2 linked regions of the Ovis aries genome follow. The protein of the gene in region 1 purifies or fractionates together with the protein of each later gene. This does not show direct contact. Links are inferred from orthologs where the notes say so. Each region holds a gene or a part of one and is shown in the gene's direction. Other genes may lie near its edges. The genes, in order: POLR2M and POLR2G.

Region 1 (10,853 bases):
CCGTATCAAAGAAGGGAGAGACTGGGGTTGGAGGTTATAGGGTCTTTCAAACCTCACAACTGATGTCTGTTAAGACTATAGCATGCTTCCTACTTTTTTCTTTGGGATCCAGCTTTCTTACCTGAACTATAGAGAAGAGTTAGGTGTTACACTGAAGAGTTAGCAGTTACACTGCTTTCCTCAACAGCCTAAAAAACTTTCTTGCTCTTTGCAAGATTTTTGAATTGGGGTGGCAGAAAGACCACCTGGGCATTTGTGTCTACAGCAATGATGTTCTCACTTACTAGTTTTGTGCCCTGGGAAAACTTCAGTTTTTGTGCCTTTGTTTTTCCAAGGGCAAAACGGGTAATTGTGAAAAAGAGGTTCTCCGTTTGTTGTGCAGCACCTCCTACTATCATCACCTCTTGTGGGCCTTTGAAATCGTGTGTGTGTGTGTGTGTGTGTGTGTGTGTGTGTTGGGGAGATGCATTTTGTACTGTTACAAGGACTCAGGAGTGTGTGTGTTGGGGCGGCGGGGGGCGGGGGTGCGTTTTGTATTTTTAGGAGGATTCAGGAATGCCAAACCAACTAGAGAGCAGAAACCCAGACATCAAATAGACACCAAATATCTTGCAATACCTGAGGCAGTCCTGAAAACGAGGAAAAGTCTTGCTTCAAATGCCACAAAGCCGCCTTAAGAAACGCTGATGGTTCTGAATGATCCTCCAACATTAATGTTTGAGGTCTTCACTAAACCCAGAACTAGCAAGGCCACGCCATAGGCCAGGGCTTCACGTGCCCGGTACATACTCCAGCTTCACTAATGGTTAACCAATTCATCACTCCTGTTTCCACGTGTCTTTCACTTCTTCGTTATTCCTTCCTTGGTGCCCATAGCCGTCTTACAATTCTTCCATTTGTTAATTGATTAATGTCTGCTCTCCTCCCTCACTCAGCAGACTCCTTCAGGACAGGGCCCCAGGAACTCACTTTTTCTGAATACTTAAGCCAAGACCCAAGGCACAGGAAGAATAAGCAACTAGAAAGCGCGCCCCGCCGGCGCGTGACGTCACCCCGCGATTCCCGCCCCGGCCGCCACTCCCTCAACTCTGTCCGTGTTTATTTCCGGCGTTTCAATAAAGCTCGATTCGGCTAGAAGAAGACTTGTTCTTCCGGGAAAATGGCGACTCCCGCTCGTTCGCCGGAGTCCCCGCCGGCCGCGGATCTGGCGCCAGCCACGGGGGCTGCCGAGGACGCCGAGTGCCCACCGCCTCGCCAGCCTCAGCCCCCGCAGAATGTCCTCGCTTCCCCGCGGCTTCGAGCCCCAAACTCCCGAGGACTTGGGGCAGCGGAGTTTGGCGGAGCTACGGGAAATGTTGAAGCGCCAGGAGAGACTTTTGCGCAACGTGTAAGCTTGGGTCCCGCGAAGTCACCGCAGGGTTCCTCGCGTTGGGAACCCTGGGACGGGCCCCTCCCCGCCCCCATCCCGATCTCTTTCCTGGAAGGTCACCTTGTCTTAGGTCCGTTCCAGGCCCACGGGCTAGTGGCCGGCCTACAGTCACAGAGCTACCGCGTACAGCCCGGGCGCCGGGCGCCCGTGTTTCTGGCTCTCCAGCGTTTCAGCTCCTCTTTGATTTTACTTACTCAGTGCCTGTGTCGGCCCTCCAAGGGGAGGGTCTGTATCCCCAGTCCTTTCGCTCCCTTTCCGCCAAATAGTGCCCCAAACACCTAGTAAGTTTCATCTCTAGATCCCATTTTTTTACAGGAACTGTAGGAAGTGGGAAGAGTAGGGTAAAAGAGTGGCTTCTTAGGCAAAGTAAGTTTGGTTCACACTTAGCTGTTAGACTTAATGGATTTTAGCAGAGAATAGGTGTAAAAATAATGATTTTTTTAGGAAGCTTATTTTAGCAGTTTGGTGCAGGAAAATTTGAAGGAATAAGAGGCAGAAGAGACTAGGAGGTATTTTCAGAGAAGTTCTCCAATAAGGGGATTCTAAAAAAGTGAACTAGAAGGGTAGCTGTGGGATTGGGGAGACTAGATCAGGCTTAGGATCATTTGAGTATATGGTTGACAGAGATGGCTGAAGTTTCCAACCTGTATGGAGCACCATTAATAAAAGTAGGAAAACTGGAGGAGGGTAATAGTCTGACACTGATTTTACTTACTGGAGCTTAGTTAATGGAAAAGTTAATTACATTTGATTGAAAGCTGGAGAAGTGGTCATGAGGCTGGAGAGAGAAGAGAACGTTGGGAAAATACAGACCTCTCAACTGGGAGGAATGTTAATAGAATTAGGAGAATGAATGTAGTGTCATAAAGAATAGAGGGTGTGAGCTGTAACCTTCCCTCCACATTTATTGTATGGCTAAAGAAAAGGAAATCAGAAAAAGAACTTTTGCCACTTAGCCAAAGTGGCAAATGATCACTTGGGGATTTCCTGGTAGAGACAACTATTTTGACTGTGAGAATGAGTGAGTTAACTTTTTAGCCTCAGGACCGCTTTAACTCTGAAGACTTACTGAACATTTTGAAGAGCTCTTGCTGTATGTGTGTTATATCGACTGATAGTTATCATTGTCTTAGGAGTTACAAGTGAGAATCTTTAAAACACAAGAACACAAAAACGCATTCTATTAGCCATCAGAACAATGCTATCATCCATATCATGTTGCCTCTGGAAAACTCCCCTGTACTCATGGTAAGAAAAGAGAGTGAAAATGACAAATAGTACCTTAGTTATTATAAATAGTTCTGACCTTGCAGATCCATCCACCTCCCCTCACCAGGAAGGTCTTGGAAATCACACTTTAAAAACTGATTTGGGGCATGTCTTATATTAATATCATGCTTAAAATACTTCTGCAGAAATTCTAATTGTTAATAGATGAGACAAACAAGACATAGTCCCTAATCATCCTGTAGTCCCTTGTTTTGAGGGGTATTTGGGTAATGATTCTCTTATTTCCGGCAGCTGGAAATCAGTTTTTTGACTTAACGGTCGATTTTTCTCCCTTTGAGAATACTACTTTGTATATCTCAAGTTTAAAAACATGGCTCTATGTAACGTATACCTATTCTTTTCCTTTTGTAGAAAATTCATTTGCAAATTGCCCGACAAAGGTAAAAAGATCTCAGACGCTGTCACCAAACTGAAAGCTGCCATTGCAGAACGTGAAGAAGTTAGAGGAAGAAGTGAACTCTTTTATCCTGTTAGCTTAGACTGTAAGGAGAGGCAAAAAGCGATTGCAGTTGTTGATGGGGGCAGAGATAAGGCCCAGAATTCTGACCAGATACTTGATACTTCATCACCTGTTCCTGGCTGTTCGTCTGTAGCTAACATCACATCATCTCAGACAACCTCACGACAACAGGGACTGGAACATCTGACTCGCGGAGGTGATGCTGAGGCAACTGAGGCTGAACACACAGTGAGCAAGCACCCACCTTCTAGCAGCAGAGCCCCAGCACCTTCCTCATCTGAAGCTAGTGAGGGTCTCCCTCAGCATTGTGCCTTAGGTCAAGTGGAGGATCATCCTGGCAGCTCAGACAACCTGTTCATTGATAGATTGCAAAGGATCACAATTGCGGATCCCACTGAACACCACTCAGAAGGAAACCAGAGTCCTGAGAACTTGGCCGGCCTCTGGAGTAGGCCCCAGAAGAAGCCTCATTACATGGAAGTGCTGGAAACGCGAGCCAAAAATCCCATGCCCCCGCCACATAAATTTAAAACCAATGTGTAAGTACCATCAGAAACAGGCTTGTTACAGGAGCATGATATTTGTTAAACTCCCAAAACTGGGAGACTGCATTAAGTTCAGTGGACTTGGTATGAGAACTGCTTGTACTTGGGAATGAGCGTATTGTAGAAGCAGTAAAACGAACATGGCTGGAGTGGAGGATTCTGGCTGGAAAATGCTTTCTTTTTTTAGCCAAGTAATTGAAAAGGTTTTCAGTAGCAGATGGGACATTAAACTTCAGGATACTTAGGCAAAATTTTATATAAAACATAGAATTAGAGAATTTATTATAATTGTTTCCAGAACCATATTCTTGTACATAGCTCCTCCTCTAACTAGACTATAAGCTAAGAGGAAAACAATTGTAGGAACCAACGGCCTTTCTCAGTAAAAAATATTTGTGTGCTCACTGTATGTAAGCAGTAGGTGCTGTGGCAACACACGAGTAAAGATTCTGTTCCTCATAGAGTTTAGGGTCTAGATAAGGACTCGAGGCTTACACACTTGGAAGAACATTAAAGTATATAATCATTTCAGGAGGAAGGGAGCTGAGAAAGGGTTAAAAAAGCAAAACAAGTTTGGGCAGGAGGGGCAAGTGAACTGTACTTCTAAGTTCCTTGTCATAGTTTTATTTCTGAGATCTTCAGAAAAAAATCTCTTCAAAAAGAGTATTATTTATTTATGTGCAGTTATAACACTCTTATCAGGGAGTAGTTTTATAAGACATTAATATCAGATACAGGAAGCTTCCTTGGTGACTTAGTGGTAAAGAATCCACCTGCCAATGCAGGAGACGCAGGTTCGGTCCCTGGGTCAGGAAGATCCCCTAAGAAGGAAATGGCAACCCATTCCAGTATTCTTGCCTGGGAAATCTCATGAACAGAGGAGCCCGGCAGGCTGCGGTCCATGTGGTTGCAAAGCATCTGACACAACCTAGCAGCTAAACAACGACAGATACAAAGTTTAACCGCTACTGCTTTTCTTTGAAAAACTGAAAGCTTGTAGTTACAAGTACCTAAACCAATTTTTTTATTATTATAGAAACTTTAAAGTTCAATTGTATCTTACTATTCATTTTTTTAAACCTCAAAACTATTTGTTCTGCATAGAAAACCAGAACAAATAGTTTTGAGTAGAAAACCAGTGGAGAAGGCAATGGCACCCCACTCCAGTACTCTTGCCTGGAAAATCCCATGGATGGAGGAGCCTGGAAGGCTGCAGTTAATGGGGTCGCTGAGGGTCGGAAACAACTGAGCTACTTTCACTTTGATGCATTGGAGAAGGAAATGGCAACCCACTCCAGTGTTCTTGCCTGGAGAATCCCAGGGACAGGGGAGCCTGGTGGGCTGCCGTCTATGGGGTCGCACAGAGTTGGACACGACTGAAGTGACTTAGCAGCAGAAAACCAGAATTAATTTTTAGTTGGGAATAAAAAGTAATCTTTGATTAAGTAATTACTCATCTTGTGTGTGGTGAGGTATCTTTCCTCACTTTGAAGGAGGCAGAAAACCAGAAGCATCATCTAGTCAATACATACAACAGAGAGTACACTGACCCTGATTCTGTATTGTGGTCCTTTAGCTGGAAGTGGGAGGAGAGGAAGGGAGTATCCGTGAAGGTTCCCAGGGGAAGTTTGTGAGCCATAGAGACAGGTGCACTCATCAGAAGAGGATGGGCTTTGGGGAGCCAGGTGGTAGACAGTTGGAAGTAGCGGGGGACGCAGGTGTCCCTTGGCTGCCTCTTGCATGCTCTTCCGGCTCTTCTGATGCGGGGGGCTGCCTCGTCTCTTCTAGCCCTAGTCTACCCAGAACTTCAGATTTGCAGAGTCAGTTACCTATGAAACCTGGCCACATGGGGGTGATCTGTGCACCTAAGATTTGTCCTGTACAAAGTAGAACTCACTTCTTCCCAGACTACTTTGTCCCATATTCCCTAAGCCAGTAGTGCCAGCACCTTCTTTCTTCCCCTCCTTTCCATCTCTGCCAGCCATGGGGCCTCACAGTGTATTTCCTGGACCTTCGTCTAATCATCCTTATGTTCATCGTTTCTCCTGTCAAAGTGAAGATGCTCATCACTGTCCTGGCCCATAGTTGTTTTCCGTCCTGGCCTAGTCTTAATTCTACCAGTCCCTCCTGTCCACTGCTGCCAGAGTGCAATTTGTAGAGTACAAACCTGAACCTGTTGTGCAGACTAGAAGTCTTCCATGTGCCCTGCACCCAGCCTGCTGCCCCAGCCTTTTCTGTACTCTCCAGCTCCCATGCTTCCTGTGAGCTGCAGCCCTATCAGTCCTTACTCTGGTGAAATGCCATCAGAGATCCTATCATTTACATGTTGAATCCTTATTATTCCAAGACTCCTCAGATTGCACTCTTTTTGAAGTGTTTCTGCCAGCCATCCTGTCTCCCATTACAACAGGCCATTCCCTTGTCTGTGTTCCAGTGGGCCTGTGCCATAGTACCCGTGATACTACATTACACTGAAACTGTTCACAAATTTAATTCCCTCTGCTAGATAGTAAGCCCCTTCGCAGGCGTTTTTGAATGAGAATAGGCTTCAGCTCGAGTATAAGCTTTTGGGGGGGCTTCCCAGGTGGCTCAGTAGTAAAGAATCTGTCTGCCAGTGCGGGAGACGTGGGAGATGAGGGTTCGATCCCTGGGTGGGGAAGAGCCCCCTGGGAGGAAATGACAACCCACTCTACTATTTGGAGAGAGGGGAGAGGCAATGAGTGTAGCTATCTGTTAGAGGAATGCATTGTCAAATTACCAAAAAAGGTGCCAATTTAAATATTTGTTTTTGAGGTAAATATATTTAAAAGGAACGTTTTATCTGTGCATGTAAATAGTGGTAAAGGCCTTACTATTACCTTTATAGAACAGTTAGCTGCCAAGGTTGAAGACCACTTTCGTTGAATGCTACAAATGTGTGTCTGTGAAAAGGTGGTGTAACATAAGGGTTGCTTCCTGCAGATTACCTTCACAGCCGCATGATTCTTTGAGTGCTTGTCAGAGGAGAGGGTCTCCCGTCTCCTCAGAGGAGAGGCGGCGCAGGGACAGGAAGCATCTTGATGACATCACAGCGGCCCGGCTTCTGCCGCTGCACCACCTGCCGACACAGCTGCTCTCCATAGAGGAGTCGCTGGCACTTCAGAGACAGCAGAAGCAGAGTTACGAGGTATTTAGAGCATGGCTTGTTCCTGTCTGCATGTTGGACGCTGCTTACATGAGTCAGAATTTACTCTAGGCCTTTGGTTTTCACAAAAGCTAGGTTCGCATGGATTTTCAAGACACTCGTTTTTAAAAGCTAGTTTTCATCCTCTCAGTTCATTCAAGTTATTGCCTAGTTGTAACGAAGGGTTGAGGAATTGCTTCTTACCTTGTTTGACCCTAAATGCCTGTGTGAAGTTATTTTTAGGTTGAGTTAAACCGTTCAGTTTGGAGTTGGTTTCCTTGGCAGAGCAGTAATAATTCCACTTCAGTCCCACCTACCTGTACTACCCGTGGCCTGAAGGAGGGACATAGATGAGTTCGAGTAGGTTGGGGGCAGCCTGAGAAAAGTGAGCCAGATGAGGAATGAGCATGCGGTGCCAGTCAGTCAGTGACACCGTCACTGGGCGTCTGCAAGCACATTGCTGCTCTTTAAGATTTACTTAGGCTTTTTATTGCATAGTAATTTTCATGGGAGTTAATTTGGTGAGGGATAATCAGTTTTTAGTATTCTTTGATTTTCACTGTGGCACTGAAATGTCACTCTCGAGCCTAGAAGCCATAATCTAATCCAGGAAAGAAGACTCTTCCAGTTGGAGGGTCAGTACAGCACTGGTGGTTTTTGACGTTGATGGCTCAGATTGCTCTTCAGGGTTGTCTATGCACGTGCGCCTGCCCACATGCTAGAAAGTAGGTTCCTGTGTATAACTGTCGCAGTGCCAAGCTGATTGCTCAGTTTCTCGCATAGAAGTCGGATATCTCAGTGCACACTGTTTATCAGTGGAAGTCTGTGATCACCGCTGTAGCAGGCTGGTAGCTCTCTCCAGCCCTGCCCTGTGATGACTGTGTCTCATTCCCTCAGAGGGCGGTAGAGAGCCCAGAAATAAAGGGGCATGCCCTTCCAGTGAAACTGGTTCTATTCCAGTGACTTCCCCTTGAAAAATTGTAGGGAAAAGGTATGAGTGTCTAACTTTTTGCTTTTTTGTCTTAAAGGAGATACAAGCCAAGCTCGCAGCACAGAAGCTAGCTGAAAGACTAAATATTAAAATGCAGAGCTATAATCCAGAAGGGGAGTCTTCAAGGAAATACCGAGAAGTAAGGGACGAAGATGATGATCAGTCCTCCGAGGATGAACTCTGAAGATGGATGTTCAGATCATCTCCCAAATCTCTGCCTGTTGAGATCTCATTATCTTACATCAGACTGCCTAACAAGTATCGAGATCAGTGTCAGACATTGTTGAGAGAAAGAATTTTGTAAAGTTATGCTAAGGAAACTATAAAACGAGCCCACTTTCAGATGATAATTTTCATGTCCTTGAAAAGTTGAATATTTGAATATTGTGTTTAATGACACTATATTAAATTTTGGCAGTATGTCCTGTGTTGGTCTGATATTTTAGTATATAGTAAGCACATTTTTTTCTCTAAGCCAAATGAAAGCAGGTGATTAAACTGCTTTTTTCTTTATACTTACCTCTACCAAATAATGTTTATTACATGTCTTAGTGAATTATTTAGTTGTCCCAGGCATCACCTAAAATGAATTATGAAGATATAATTCCCTCTTTTTTTGAATAACGAAGAAGCCTAGATAATTTTGTGCATGTTTTCATGGGGGCTATTACAGTACTGGACATTAAATACCAAGGAAGACACTCAAAGAAAATGCTTAAATATTTGTTTCTTTCTGTCTTTCCTTAGGAAATATGTTTTCTTTCTTCTGATAAGGAATATGCGGTACTTTTAGTTAATTCTAGAGGGTGGGTGGTCTCTCTAGATGACCAGATTTGCCTGGTCATGGAGTAACATGAGGAACAGGAAAAGCCTTAAGGTGATTGATGTTTGTGAAGGGAATAGCTGTTGGTGGTTTAGTCGCTCAGTTGTGTCCAGCTTTTTGCGGCCCCATGGACTGTAGCCTGCCAGGGTCTTCTGCCTATGGGATTTTCCAGGCAAGATTACTGGTGTGGGTTGCCATTTCCTTCTCTAGGGGATCCTTTTGACCCAGGGACTGAACCTGTGGCTCCTACATCTCCTCCATTGCAAGCAGATTCTTGACTGCTGAGCTACTGGAGAAGCCCTATCTGTTGTTAGGCTTGGCCTGACTTGACTTCATTGTTCTAGCAGATGATAGGTTCAATTTGATAAGACAACCAAAAAAATTTCCAAAGCCACAATTGGTTTGTTATCAAAATATATTGCTTCCCCGCCCCCACCCCAAAAGAGACTTATGTAGGCTGCAGAAATCTCAATTTCATGTATAATTTCAAAGGATTATATGGTTGTCTCCAGAGAAATTAACAAATATGTTGTCAGAGTTTTGTCTAACATGTTGGTGCCTTTAAGCAGTGTTGAAAGAATAAAATATTAATTAGAGCAACCTGAAAATGCTAATGGTGATGTTTTACTGCTGCTTAATTCAATGTAACTTAGCTTTGAAGGAGGCTTTTCATATATGAAATTTGAGTTAGAGTGCATTTAGGGAGATGTAGGTGTGGTAGGGAACGCTCAGTTCTGTGTCCTGTCCTTTTGGGAGTAACTTTATCGCCCTTTTGCTTTCCTTCCCTCAAAAAGCAAATGTAGGACTATCCTGCACAGTTTCGTTATTTTTAGTTTTTAAAACTAATTATAAATGATTTCACATCCTAAAGTTATCTGATGCTCCTTCTTTATTAAAATAGTCATTCAGTTATGTCCGACTCTTTGTGACCTCGAGGACTGTAGCCCACCAGGCTCCTCTGACCATGAAATTCTCCAGGCAAGAATACTGGCAAGGGTTGCCATTTCCTTCTCCAGGGGATATTTCCAACCCAGGGATCGAACCTGGGTCTCCTGCATTGCAGGCAGATTCTTTACCGTCTGAGTCACCAAAATAAATAAACGTTATTCCTGGAAAACTGATCATGGGAGGGCTCCCATGCACATACGTGTAGTCCCCTGTAATCCTACCACCCAGAGAAGGCCTCTGTTAATATTTGGGTACAAGGACATATGCATACTTTTCTATGCATATCTATACATTTATATTTTCAATAATGCAGTCATACACTGGTTAATATTCTGCTCTATATACCATTAACATTTCCACATGCTAAATATTTCACATTTTAGATAGCTGCAGAATATTCCATTTTATGGGTGTGCCGTAACTTTTAACATCAATTTGTTTCACGATGTGTTCATTATAATGCAAATTGAAATGATAAAATCAACATGTCACATCTGTAAAAAAAGTGACTTATTTCCAAATGGTACCTTTCTAGAAGGAATTGCTAGGTGAAAGTAAATTTTTGAGACTTGATACTCATCACTCCCCACAAAGGCTGTCTTCCTTAATGTTCCCACTAGCAATATAAAACTATCAGAATTGCAAGTTGCTATTCAAAATATTTGCCAATAATTCCAGAAAAGGGCTTCCTTTAAAATGTGTTTATTTGATTATAAGTGAAGATTTGAGAGTCTTGTCATGTTTATTGACCATTTTCATTCATTGTTTTGAGCATTGCTTCTTCATATCTTTCCTATATTCCCTTGGCGAGTTTGCCAATTTTACTGTTTTATAAGTTACTTTATGAATTAAGATGTCCATTTTGCCATGTGTTATTACTGTTTTCAACACGTGACTTGCCTTCTAATATAGTCGGTGGTGTTTCTGTGTAGAAGTTCTTTTCTTAGGGTCTGCCTTTGCAGGTGTGCTGTGTGTATGTGTGTGTGCTCAGCTGTGTCCAGCTCTTGGTGACTCCATGAACGGCAGCCCGCCAGGCTGTTCCACCCCTGGATTTCCCAGGCAGGAATACTGGGGTGGGTTGCCATTTCCTACTCCAGGGGATTTTCCTGACCCAGGGACTGGACCTGAGTCTCATGTCTCTTGTGTTGGTGGGTGGATTCTTTACCGCTAGTGCCACCTGGGAAGCCTGTGCAGGTGTGCTAGG
Region 2 (11,448 bases), on another chromosome or scaffold:
TAGGAGAACAAAGAACTACAGCTCCAAGCATCTTTACCTTGTCCTGAAGAATCCTGGATGAGACCCCAAGATGAAAGGTTGTTGCTGAACTATGAAAGACGTGGGGATTCTTGGCCTCCGGAGGAGAAGAATTCAATCCGTGGCCGGAGACAAGGCTTGATTACTCAAAGTTTTTGTGTAACAAAGTTTTATTAAAGTATAAAAGAGATAGAGAAAGCTTCTGACATAGACATCAGAAGGGGGCAGAAAGAATGCTCCCTGCTAGTCTTTAGCTGGATGTTATATTGCTCCTAGCAGTCTAATTAGAGAAAGGAAATGTCCCAAAACTCAGAGAATGGCACCAGGCCCCTCACCCACATCATGCATTGTGAGATAACATTGGCACAAGGGGAGTTGTCCCGGGCCATAAAATGATTGACATGAATCTTGAAGAAAGGCAGGTTTCCAAGCAAATACAGTCTCATGAACATAGCTTAAGAGAACATTTGCATGAGTAAAACATACTGGTTTGTTAAGTCAGTTTTTTTTTGTTGTTGTTAAGTCAGTTTTGAGCCTTAGGCAGAACCAACTTGAAGACAATTCAGTTCAGTTCAGTCTCTCAGTTGCGTCCGACTCTTTGCAACCCCATGGACTGCAGCACTCCAGGCTTCCCTATCCATCACCAACTCCCAGAGCTTACTTAAGGTCATGTCCACTGAGTTGGTGATGCCATCCAACTCATCTCATCCTCTGTCATCCCCTTCTCCTGCTTTCAATCTTTCCTGACATCAGGGTCTTTTCCAACCAGTCAGCTCTTCGCATGAGGTGGCCAAAGTATTGGAGTTTCAGCTTCAGCATCAGTCCTTCCAATGAATATTCAGGACTGATTTCCTTTAGGATGGACTGGTTGGATCTCCTTGCTGTCCAAGGGACTCTCAAGAGTCTTCTCCAATACCACAGTTCAAAAGCATCAATTCTTTGGCGCTCAGCTTTCTTTATAGTCCAACTCTCACATCCGTACGTGACTACTGGAAAAAAAATAGCCTTGACTAGACAGACCTTTGTTGGCAAAGTAATATCTCTGCTTTTTAATATGCTGTCTAGGTTGGTCATAACTTTTCTTCCAAGTTGAAGACTTTTTTTTTCAAGTTGAAGACTCTTGAAGACAGAGTCTATGGTAAATACATGGTTCATTAACATAGCTTAAGACAAACATTTCCATAAGAAAACCACATTGATTAGCTCAAGGTTGGGGAAAATTTAAGTTCAGGTGGAATCAGGTGTCCTCAAGGCATCAAAGAATTTTAAGAGAAAGCTCTTTTTAAATTTCTATAGAGAAGGGGAAAAAATCTTAACACTTGTAGTTTGTTTCCTCCTGCCACTTGAGAGAGAGAGAAAAAATGTCTGACACTTGCAGCCTATTTCCTCCGTTTGGAGACCCCTGGCCTTCCTGCCAGTCACCCTCTCTACTGAGGAGCCTAGAACCAGGGGGAGGGGCAGCTGGGCTGGATGGTCCTCGCTCAGAGATTGCCCTTCAGGGGCTGGACCTGCTACTTGTGTACATGGCTTTGGGAGACATCAGGTGGCAGACATCATCACAAAGGCTCGTCTCTACTGTGCAGGTTGGCAAGACCTATTCTTGCACAAGATTGTGTTCTCCAAGGCGGCCTTAACAAGATCTTCCCTCCCACATGCTCCTTTTACAGTTTGGCACTGATGCTCCTCGCTGTAAGATCTCTCGCCTTGAGTCTGGGCGGTGTGATGTCATGTGATTTACAAAGTTAAGTCATAAGAAGAGACAGATCTGCCTGGTCCTCTTGGGGGTACTTGCACTTAGAACTCAGCCACCACTCTGTGAAGAACCAGACCACATGGAAAGGGTATCTGTAAGTGTTTCAGCCACAGCCACAACCAGGCTCCTGGCTAACAGCAAGCTCTAACTTGCCAGCCATGTGACTGAGCCATCTTGGAAGTGGATCCTCCAGTTCCCAACTGAACTGCCCCAGCTCATGTTGCCTGGAACAGGAGTACATCTTCCCCACTGAGTGTTGCTCAAATTGTAGATTTATGAGAAAAATAAATTACTGTGGTTGTTTTAAGACACTAAGCTTTTGAGTTGTTTGTTGTGCACCAAAAGCTAAATGAAACAATCCATCAGCAGACTTTCTTTGTATTCCGAATGTCAATACAGCTGATTGTTCTCCATTGCTATTTCCTTTCTGTTCTAGCTTAATCTCTAAATTCTGAATCTTTGGATGCAAAGATATGAGGGCTAGGGGAGAATTTATATGGCCATGCAAAGCCTAAGGACCTTGAAGAGATAATAATACACTCAATACAAGAATGGGGTTCAGTCCACCCATAGTTGTTAAACTCCATTATTTGCCAAGCACACTGTTAAAGCTTCCCTGGTTGATTGGCTGGTAAAGAATCCACCAGCAAAGGAGGAGACCTGGGTTCAATCCTTGGGTTGGGAAGATCCCTGGAGAAGGGAATGGCTACCCACTCCAGTAGTCTGGCCTGGAGAATTCCATGGACTGTATAGTTCATGGGGTCACAAAGAGTTGGACACAACTGAGCGATTTTCACTTTGATTATTTGCCAAGCACACTGTTAGGTGCTAGAGATTCACTTACGGATGCAAATACATCCCGAGTACCTGTTGTGCGCCAAGGGCTCTTCTAGGCTTCAGAGATATAGAGGAACAAAACAGCAAGAATTCCTGCCCATCTTGAGGAGGAACAGGCAGTATACACATGAATAAATTAATAAGATGATGCCGGGGCTTCCTGGTGGTCCAGTGGTTAAGAATCTGCCTTGCAATGCAAGGGACACTGGGTTCGATCCCTAGTCTAGGAAGATTCCACATACCTTGGGCCAACTGAGCCTGTGTGCCACAACTACTGAGCCCACATGCCCTAGAGCCTTTGCTTTGCCACAAGAGAAGCCACTGAAGTGAGAAGCCTGCACACTGCAATGAAGAGTAGCCCCCGCTTGCTGCAACTAGAGAAAGCCTGCATGAAGCAACAAAGACTAAGCACAGCCAAAGGAAAAAAGATGCCAAACAGAGCCAACTTCTGTGACGAAAATAAAACAAAGCAATACAATAGAGGAGTGTGACTGCGGTTTGTCTACTTAAGTCAGGGTAGCCATGGAAGGCCTCTCGGAAGTGGTGACTCTGAGCTTACACCTGAAGAATGAGAAGAAGCTCCCACATCCCCATCAGGTGAAAATCAGAGCCAACAGCATTTTAGGCAGAGGAAACAAGTTCTCCTGAGGTGGGAGAGGAGGCCAGTGTGGCAAGAGAGAAAGCAAAAGGAAGAGAGGCAGAGAATACAGTTGACTAAATCTGGCCCCTGCCTGGTAGGTAAGAGTGATGGTTTTATTCTGGTGCCTTGGGAAACCATTGGGTTCTAAGCAGGGGATTGACAAGATTTGGCTTAAGTTTTGAAAATATCACTCTTGGCAAATAAGCACATGAAAAGATGTTCAACATCCTTAGTCATTAGGGAACTGAAAATTACGACCACAATTATAATCAGTTATTAGGGTAGCAAACAAACAAACTGTGCTGACAACACCAAGTGCTGGTGAGGATGTCAGAGCAACTGAAACTCTTATACTTGTAATTGCATATACAGTTATATATAACACTTACACCAGACAGACACAATGGGTATAAATAACTTGAAGAGCATTTGTAATAGTAAACTCTATTAAACAGGAAGTGAGAGTTTTAAGACTCTGACTCTAATTACTATGTGTGTGTGTTTTTTCTCCCATACTTCCAAGCAAATCACAAACACCAGATAAGTGTCCTACAATTTAACTCAGTTCTGACACCATCAGCACAAAGATAACACAGGTTTCCACATGTTAAGATCGCAGCTCTACAAGGCTGCCCTACAAGGCTGCCCTCCCCTTCCAATGGCAATTTTAAGTCAGGCTGTTCACTTTCACTTTTCACTTTCCTGCATTGGAGAAGGAAATGGCAACCCACTCCAACATTCTTGCCTGGAGAATCCCAGGGACGGGGGAGCCTGGTGGGCTGCCGTCTATGGGGTCGCACAGGGTCGGACACGACTGAAGCGACTGAGCAGCAGTCAGCTGTGTTTCTGACTGGGAAAAGGGCGTGGACCTCCCATACTCCATCCGAACTCACCACTCTCCCCAGTTCTCCAGGTCTTCACCAACCCTAGACTCTCTGAACCACATCCACTTGGTTTTATGGAGATTTTCACCGCACTGGCAAGGTTGATTAGTTCATTAGCCGGGTCAGGGAGTTGAGACTGAAAGTTCCAACCCTCCAGTCACTTGGTTGTCTCTCCTGGCTTAGGTGCTTTCCAAAATTCACTTCACTGATAAAAACTCAGGTGTGGCTGAAAGAGGTTTGTTATGAATATCAAGGTATCATTATCATTTAGGCAATTCCAAGGGTTTTAGGAGTTCTGTGACAGAAATGGGGAAGAAGACCAAGTATATATGTGTTGGTGTTTTTATTATAAATATCACAGTTACTTTTGTCTTGTTTCAAATTTTTTATTATGAACAATTTCAAACGCAGAAAAGTAGAAGAAAGTGTAAGAAACCACCATTATCCATCATCTGTCTTCAACGATTATTAATATATTGCTAAACTTGTTTCATCTACGTCTTTGCCTTCTTTAGTATAATTCATTTAATCATAAGTTAAGACAACTAAATTTTTCATAACTGCTGTGTTTAACAACTGGCTTGCAAAGTGCCTGAAATATTAACAGTTGGCTTTTGTAAGGGTCTCCAGCACACCACACCATTGCTCTTGCGGGGAGGCTGGTTTCAAAAGAGGGAAGGAGGGAGTTGAGGCTGTTGAGGCCTGCCCTTTGATCTGCTGTCTGCTTCCTCATGTGGTCTCTGGTGGAGGGGATCCCCATGGAGTCTGAGCAGCTGACCAACAACCTCAATCGTTCTAGGAAATGGGCAGCATCAATGGAAACCGGTGTGTGACAGCTCTAAGGAAATCAGGCTTTCTTGCTTACAATATACTAAAACTTGCTCAGGCAACAGGCGAGTTTGTTCAAGACCCCAGGGACTGTGGAGGCTTTAGAACCAGCCGCCCTTGCTGAGCCTTTGTCATAGGGGCGGGTCTCATGGTGTTTCCGAGACTCAGCAGCCCACAGACTACATGCTCATTCTCGTTGTGCTGAGTTTAATAAAGGGACTATCTGCAAAAGGGGGGGGTAGAGCTGAAGGAACAGGTAAAGTTTGCTCACCAGTTCTACAGGCCCTTGTGTGTAAGGGGGCGGGGGAGGGTGGTTAGAGGAGAGCAGTGACTTGAGGTTCTTTTCACACCGGGAGGGGGCGCTGCCTTCTGGGCTCTGACTAGGCCGGTTTCAACTCCAAACTACAAGAGCCCGGTAATAAATGCCTGAATATGCAAGAGCCTTGGAGTCAGGCATGTTGAATTTGAATCTCGACCCTGGGTGACCTCACCCTTCTGAGCCTGGTATCTTATTTGTAAATGAAAGTAATAACAAAGCCTGCCGGGTAGGGTTGCTGTTTAGATTAATTGAGATAAGGATAGCTTCTTACTATGCTTACTATGTGAAAGCAGTCTTCAACTCTTTGCAGAATGAATAGACTCTGCTAAAGCGCTTTATTTATGCGATCTCTCATTAATTAATTCCTTTTAAAGGTATTTATTAAGCATCTAATCTATGCGAGATACTGTTATGCTTAAGGGAGTTGGGCGCTTTGACGGCTGGACGGAGGGGAGGAGCCTCATGGGTTTCCCCACCCACGACAGCGAAGCCCAATGGGGACCCGTGGAGGCTGTGAGTCCCGCCCACTTTTCGGGGCAGGCCCGGAAACGGGGTTGGAGAGGTTGCTGTATTTCCGGTCGGTGTGGCGGCTCCGCTGCTCGTGAAGCGGTAGACCCGGCTCCTGTTCAGCTTCCTTCGGGAAGATGTTTTACCACGTGAGCAGGGCACGGGGTGGCGGCGAGGGCAGGGTCAAGAGGAGGAGCAAGCGGAAGGCCGGGACTAGGGGCGGCTTCTTGCCTCATACTCCTCCCGCTCCTTGCCCGACTCCATTCCAGTTTCCCCCCAGATTTCCCTGGAGCACGAGATTCTGCTGCACCCGCGATACTTCGGCCCTAACTTGCTCAACACGGTGAAACAAAAGCTCTTCACCGAGGTGGAGGGGACCTGCACCGGCAAGTGAGTGTCGCACCCTCCCTGCCGCCTAAACACTGCGCACACGGCTTTCTATGCTTGCACCCGCTTCCCAGCGCCTACACACCGTGAAAGCTTCTGCTACCTACCCTGGCAAGCCCTCTCACCCTTCCAGGCAGTTAGCTGCTTCCTGCTTTGGGTTCCTACGGTGCCCTCTGTGAAGCTCCATAACAGAACTGCCTTTCCTCAGCCAACATTTGTCATTAACTCTGCAAACATTTCTGAAGCTCCGGCTGTGTGCCAGGACTGGGCCCTGGGAACAATGCAGTGAAAAAGACAAAATGAGGTCAGCCCTTTCTTTATCCCTCATACCCAGGGACCTGGCATGGTACATCTTGGGCCTCACTAAAAGCTTGTTGAATGAATGAATGGGCAGGATAAGGCAGATTGAGAGTTAACCGGAGGAAGGAAGAGGAGTGAGACTTGACCATCTCTGGGCTCTGCACAGAGGCGCTCCGCACATGGTGAAGTAAATGAGGGGGGAGGAGCAGGGCCGCAGAGTACTCAGGTATCCAGCATCAGAGTAAGCTGAGGTGTTCTTTGAACATACAGGTTCCTGAGCCTCATCTCATTTCTACAGCATCAAGACTGGGGACCAGCCCGGGAACAGGCATTTTAATGTTTCTCTCAGGTGATTCTGAGACATCGCCAAGGTTGAGATTAAGGACTGCAGCCCTTTTGGACACTGATTGTGAAATTATGAGAGCAGCGTTTGGCATTATAGCTGCTGCTGATTGTCCTGTCTCCTCTCTTGATCATTAAGCTCTCCTGGGGCCAGGGGGCCGACTACTCCCCCCTCTGTGCTCCCCCTTTACCTCTAGGGTCCGTGACTCTTGCAGCAGATGCTTTTTTGTATTTTTTTCCTGGCTGCGTTGGGTCTTCGTTGTTGCACGAGCTTTCTGTAGTCGCAGCAGAAATGAGAAGTGTGTGGGTTTCTCATTGTGGTAGCTTCTCTTGTTGAGGCACACGGGCTCTAGGGCTTGGGCTTAGTAGTTGCAGCGCACTGGCTTAGCTGTTCTGTGGCGTGTGGAATCTTCGGGGACCAGGGATTGAACTTGCGTCCCCTGAATTGGCAGGGGACTTCTTAACCACTGGGCCACCAGGGAAGCCCTGCTGTGGCAGATGGTTTCAGAGGCTCTTCCACACACAGTGTCTCAGTTTCTCTGCCTCCTTGCAGGTATGGCTTTGTAATTGCCGTCACCACCATCGACAATATCGGTGCTGGTGTGATCCAGCCAGGCCGAGGCTTTGTCCTTTATCCAGTTAAGTACAAGGCCATTGTTTTCCGGCCCTTTAAAGGGGAGGTCGTGGATGCGGTGGTAACTCAGGTCAACAAGGTAAGAGCATCCACAGGGGAGGTAGTGGGAAGGTCCCTCTCTTAGAAGATCTGGGATGGGTCCCACTTTGGTCAAATTCTGTGTCTTTGGTCAGATCACTTCTCTGTGCTTCAGGTTTCCTCACCTGTCAAATAGTATGGTACTGCCTCACTCAGGGGCATGTAAGTCAATAGTGAGTCAGAACAGTAGTAGCCTCCACTGTGGACCAGGTAGTGTGCAAAGCCTCTGACTCTGAAATGAGTGCTTTTATCTCCACGCTGAAGCTTGGAGAAGTTGAGTCTTCTGGCCACGGTCACGTGTCCAACAAGTGTTCAAAACCCAGAAGGACAAGTTCTAGGTCTCAGCTGTTTACTGCTACACTTCCTTAGCTTAGAATGAAAGCTTGGAAAAACAAACACACACATGACAAATTTCAGAGTGGTTTCAGAATATGAAGAACATTGTTAGGAACCAGATAAAGATGGGAGGCTTAGGAGACTGGGGGACAAAAGAAAAAGCAAGGTCTCTCTTTTCCCTTCTAGGTTGGACTCTTCACAGAAATCGGGCCCATGTCCTGCTTCATCTCTCGACACGTAAGTCTAGGCACGCTGGGTGGGTCTAAGAAGGAGACCTGTACTCATGAGAATCTACTGAAGCATCCTTTTCAAGTGCTCTTACCCAGTTTGACCTTCCTTTCAGTCCATCCCATCAGAGATGGAATTTGATCCTAACTCCAACCCACCGTGTTACAAAACGATGGATGAGGTGAGTGGGCAGAAGTTGGTGAGAGGGCCAGGGGAATGAGCCACTCTGAGGGAGGGTATTGGCCTGGGGGTTTCTGAGTGTACTGTTCCCTCCTCCCCAGGACATTGTGATTCAGCAGGACGATGAGATCCGCTTGAAGATCGTGGGGACCCGTGTGGACAAGAATGACATCGTGAGTCTCCTGACTGCCTCCCTGCTCATACCAGGCCGAGCTGTTGCATTCTTGCTACTCAGAGTTCTTGGGGATTTTGTGCTCTTCTGCCCGGAAAAAGAGATGGGTGGGCAGAAGGTCTGGGGCTGAGGGTTAGAGGAGAGCTCTCTGCTTGCTTTGGGTTCATTTCCATTTCTCCTTTCCTCCTGCAGTTTGCTATCGGCTCCCTGATGGATGATTACTTGGGTGAGTTCCAGGGTTGTTGTCTAGAGGAGGGGTGTGTGGGCGCAGGAGGTGAATATGGAATTTAATGCCTGAGCCACTGTTGAAAGAAACTCTCATGTTGTCTGCTTGGAAGACCAAGGACACTTGCCCCCTGGAATGAGAAGTGCATGGTTAGGGCTGTCCCAAGCTCTGGTTCTAACCACTGTGCTTTTTCTGTTTTCGGCAGGGCTTGTGAGCTGAGCACCATGACCTACCTTGTTGGGTCCCTATCTAGGAGGTGTGACTGTCACACTTCCCATGTTGTCCAGAGGCCCAGTCTGGCTGCTGTCGGGGAGGCAAGGAGGGTTCCTTGCCTTCAGAAGACACCTGGCTCTTCTTGTGGCTTAGCAACCACTCCCAGATTTTTGACTGTGCGTTCTAACCATAAAAGGTCCTTGATTTTCATGGAAGTGTCATCTCCTTTCTTTGGCAAGAACAACTCATTTTGTGAAAAGGCTGGAGGGCTGGTGGCTTGCTAGCCCCTCTTTTCTAGGCCTGATGCCTTAACTAGCCTCAGCCACCAGGGGATCTGACTGACCCTCTTGCCAAGGTCTCAAGTTGACCTCACTGAAGGTAAGGCTGTAGCGTTGGGTCGTTGTTGTACAGTCGCTTATCATGTCCGACTCTTTGCAACCCCATGGACTGCTGCTTGCCAGGCTTCCCACTGTCTCCCAGAGTTTGTTGGGTCTTTGATTTTCAGCAAATGGTTGTATCCTTAGAGCGACTCTGGTCTAGGGCCCCGGTCTAGTTTCAGAGAATTTGCCCTCTTCTCAAAGCCTTTAAAATAACCAAGATTGTAGCTGGGAAGGGGGAAGAGGAGACATCAGGGTTGGGGAGGTGAATAGTAGAACAGTAATGATACAGATTGTGGGGTCCCAGTCCTTAGGATGGGCACATAAACAATAGCCTTTGTTTGCTACTCAATTAATATACTAACTGAACATATGAAAGGGCTCATAATCTCATTGGGATAACACAACAAAAATATACAGAAGAAGATTGAACAAACACACCACCCTCCCTCGATGCTGAGTCTTGGCAATACTATTTGCCTAACTTGGAATGTCTTTTCCCAAGCTATCTGCTTGTTTCCTAGTAATCTATCAAATCTATCATTTTTTGTTTTCTTAAGCTTTCCTTGACTTCCTTAAGAAGCAGAGCTGTGTAGTAGAAGACACAGTATTTGGGTTGATACAGAACTGGGTTTTAGTCCTAGCTGGGTGACCTTATGTTTCCTTATTGTAATACGATCATACAACCCTCTTTGGATGGTATGTCAGAGCATTGCTGCTCTGTGTTAGAGATTGTATGTGCAAGTGGCTGTCTTCCCCAGCTAGGGATTTAACCTGAGCTGTCAGCAATGAAAGTGTGGTGTGGTGTCTTTTAAACAAAAAATTAATTTATTTGGCTGCACTGGGTCTTAATTGCGCCATGTGGGATCTAGTTCCCTGACCAGGGATCGAACCTGGACCCACTGCATAGGGAGTGCAGAGTCTTAGCCAGCGGACCACCAGGGAAATCCCTAAGTGTGGAGTCTTAACCACTGGATCATCAGGGAATTCTCAGGAAGTTACAACCTCTTGAAGAGATCACAGGCTTAATAGTGACAGGAGTATGTGCCTGGTAATATATTCAGTCCTTTACATACATTATTGAATTTTCTCAACAGTTCAGTGTAATGTTTTGTCATCCCACTTGACAGATGATAAAATAGATGAACTAACATGCTTAAGGTCACAAAGCTAGTGAGTAGTGGAGTTGTATTTTTTTTTTTTTTAATAGTGTAAAACCATCTTAACTCTTCTTGCCAGGCGTTGGGTGTCTGGGGAGCGAGAGGGAGCCACCTTTCTCCCAGCTGTGGCCAGGGTATTTACTCCTTTCCCTGGCCCCTGCCTTGACTCAAGCTGGAGGCAGATCAGCCCCAGACAGCTTGGATGGCGCTTCACTGCGTCCTGCAGGCCTCCGGGCCTTCCTCTCTTCATTGTCTCATGCTGCCAAGGTGACCAAAGGCTGTCCCTACCAGTAACACCTTTGCAAGGAGGCCTGCCGACAGCCAGGAGATCTGATCTCAGACTCAGAACTTCGGAGGAACCCCCTCTTCCTTTCATGCATAAGTGGGCAGACACTCCAGGGACCAACCACAGTCCTGAGATTACATAACATGTCATTCTGAGTATGACTGGAGGAATCTCAGCAGGGTGTCAGTCTCCTTAGGTAGTGTTCCTATGGCAACGCCACATCCACCTGGCTTTCTCAGCTCCCCTCTCAGGATCTTCCTTTCTAGAGGCAGCAGCATCTAACCCTGAGAGGGAGGAAGGGCGAGGTTGTGTACATTCATGCTCTTCTGCAGAAAGCTCCTTTAATAAATAGCTCATTGCAAATGGTCCCATCTTGGATGAACATAAAGGGATTAATTCACTGTTTGCCTCGTGATGTGTAAGTGAAAGTTCACTACCAAAGCTCAATCTACATTATCTCTTTTAATATACAATAACCTTGTGAGATGGGTATTCTTACTCCATTTTGTAGATACGTAAATGTGGTTAGGTAATTTGCCCAAAAGCAGTATCAGAGTTTGAACTCCTTTTGCTATGACTCCAAATATGCTTTACTCACTAAGCTAACTGCTTTTCAACTGAGAACTGCCCAGGTTCAGAGAAGTGTGTCAGTGTAAAATGGTCAAGGAAGTTTGTGAGGTAGGTGAGGGCTTACAGGACAGAAATGGGGAGAATATGAGCTAGGGTGCCCGAATCGGCAGAGC

Evidence for each region.
Region 2: the proteins of POLR2M (region 1) and POLR2G purify together in Homo sapiens (affinity purification with mass spectrometry; 4 studies listed by BioGRID and IntAct, counting the BioPlex papers as one, with this or other methods). This does not show direct contact. The link is inferred for Ovis aries from reciprocal best matches to the Homo sapiens genes POLR2M and POLR2G.

The regions. Positions count from the first base shown.
Region 1 is NC_056060.1:50,692,710-50,703,562, reverse strand, and holds the start of POLR2M (protein GRINL1A), read left to right. Parts: upstream 1-1,140; 5' UTR 1,141-1,274; coding exon 1,275-1,387; intron 1,388-3,070; coding exon 3,071-3,718; intron 3,719-6,685; coding exon 6,686-6,890; intron 6,891-7,915; coding exon 7,916-8,062; 3' UTR 8,063-10,853.
Region 2 is NC_056074.1:37,611,253-37,622,700, forward strand, and holds POLR2G (DNA-directed RNA polymerase II subunit RPB7), read left to right. Parts: upstream 1-5,844; 5' UTR 5,845-5,923; coding exon 5,924-5,935; intron 5,936-6,066; coding exon 6,067-6,176; intron 6,177-7,368; coding exon 7,369-7,528; intron 7,529-8,049; coding exon 8,050-8,100; intron 8,101-8,206; coding exon 8,207-8,272; intron 8,273-8,372; coding exon 8,373-8,573; 3' UTR 8,574-8,635; coding exon of another isoform or gene 8,636-8,734; 3' UTR 8,735-8,874; coding exon of another isoform or gene 8,875-8,888; 3' UTR 8,889-9,092; downstream 9,093-11,448. UniProt on the Homo sapiens protein: Core component of RNA polymerase II (Pol II), a DNA-dependent RNA polymerase which synthesizes mRNA precursors and many functional non-coding RNAs using the four ribonucleoside triphosphates as substrates.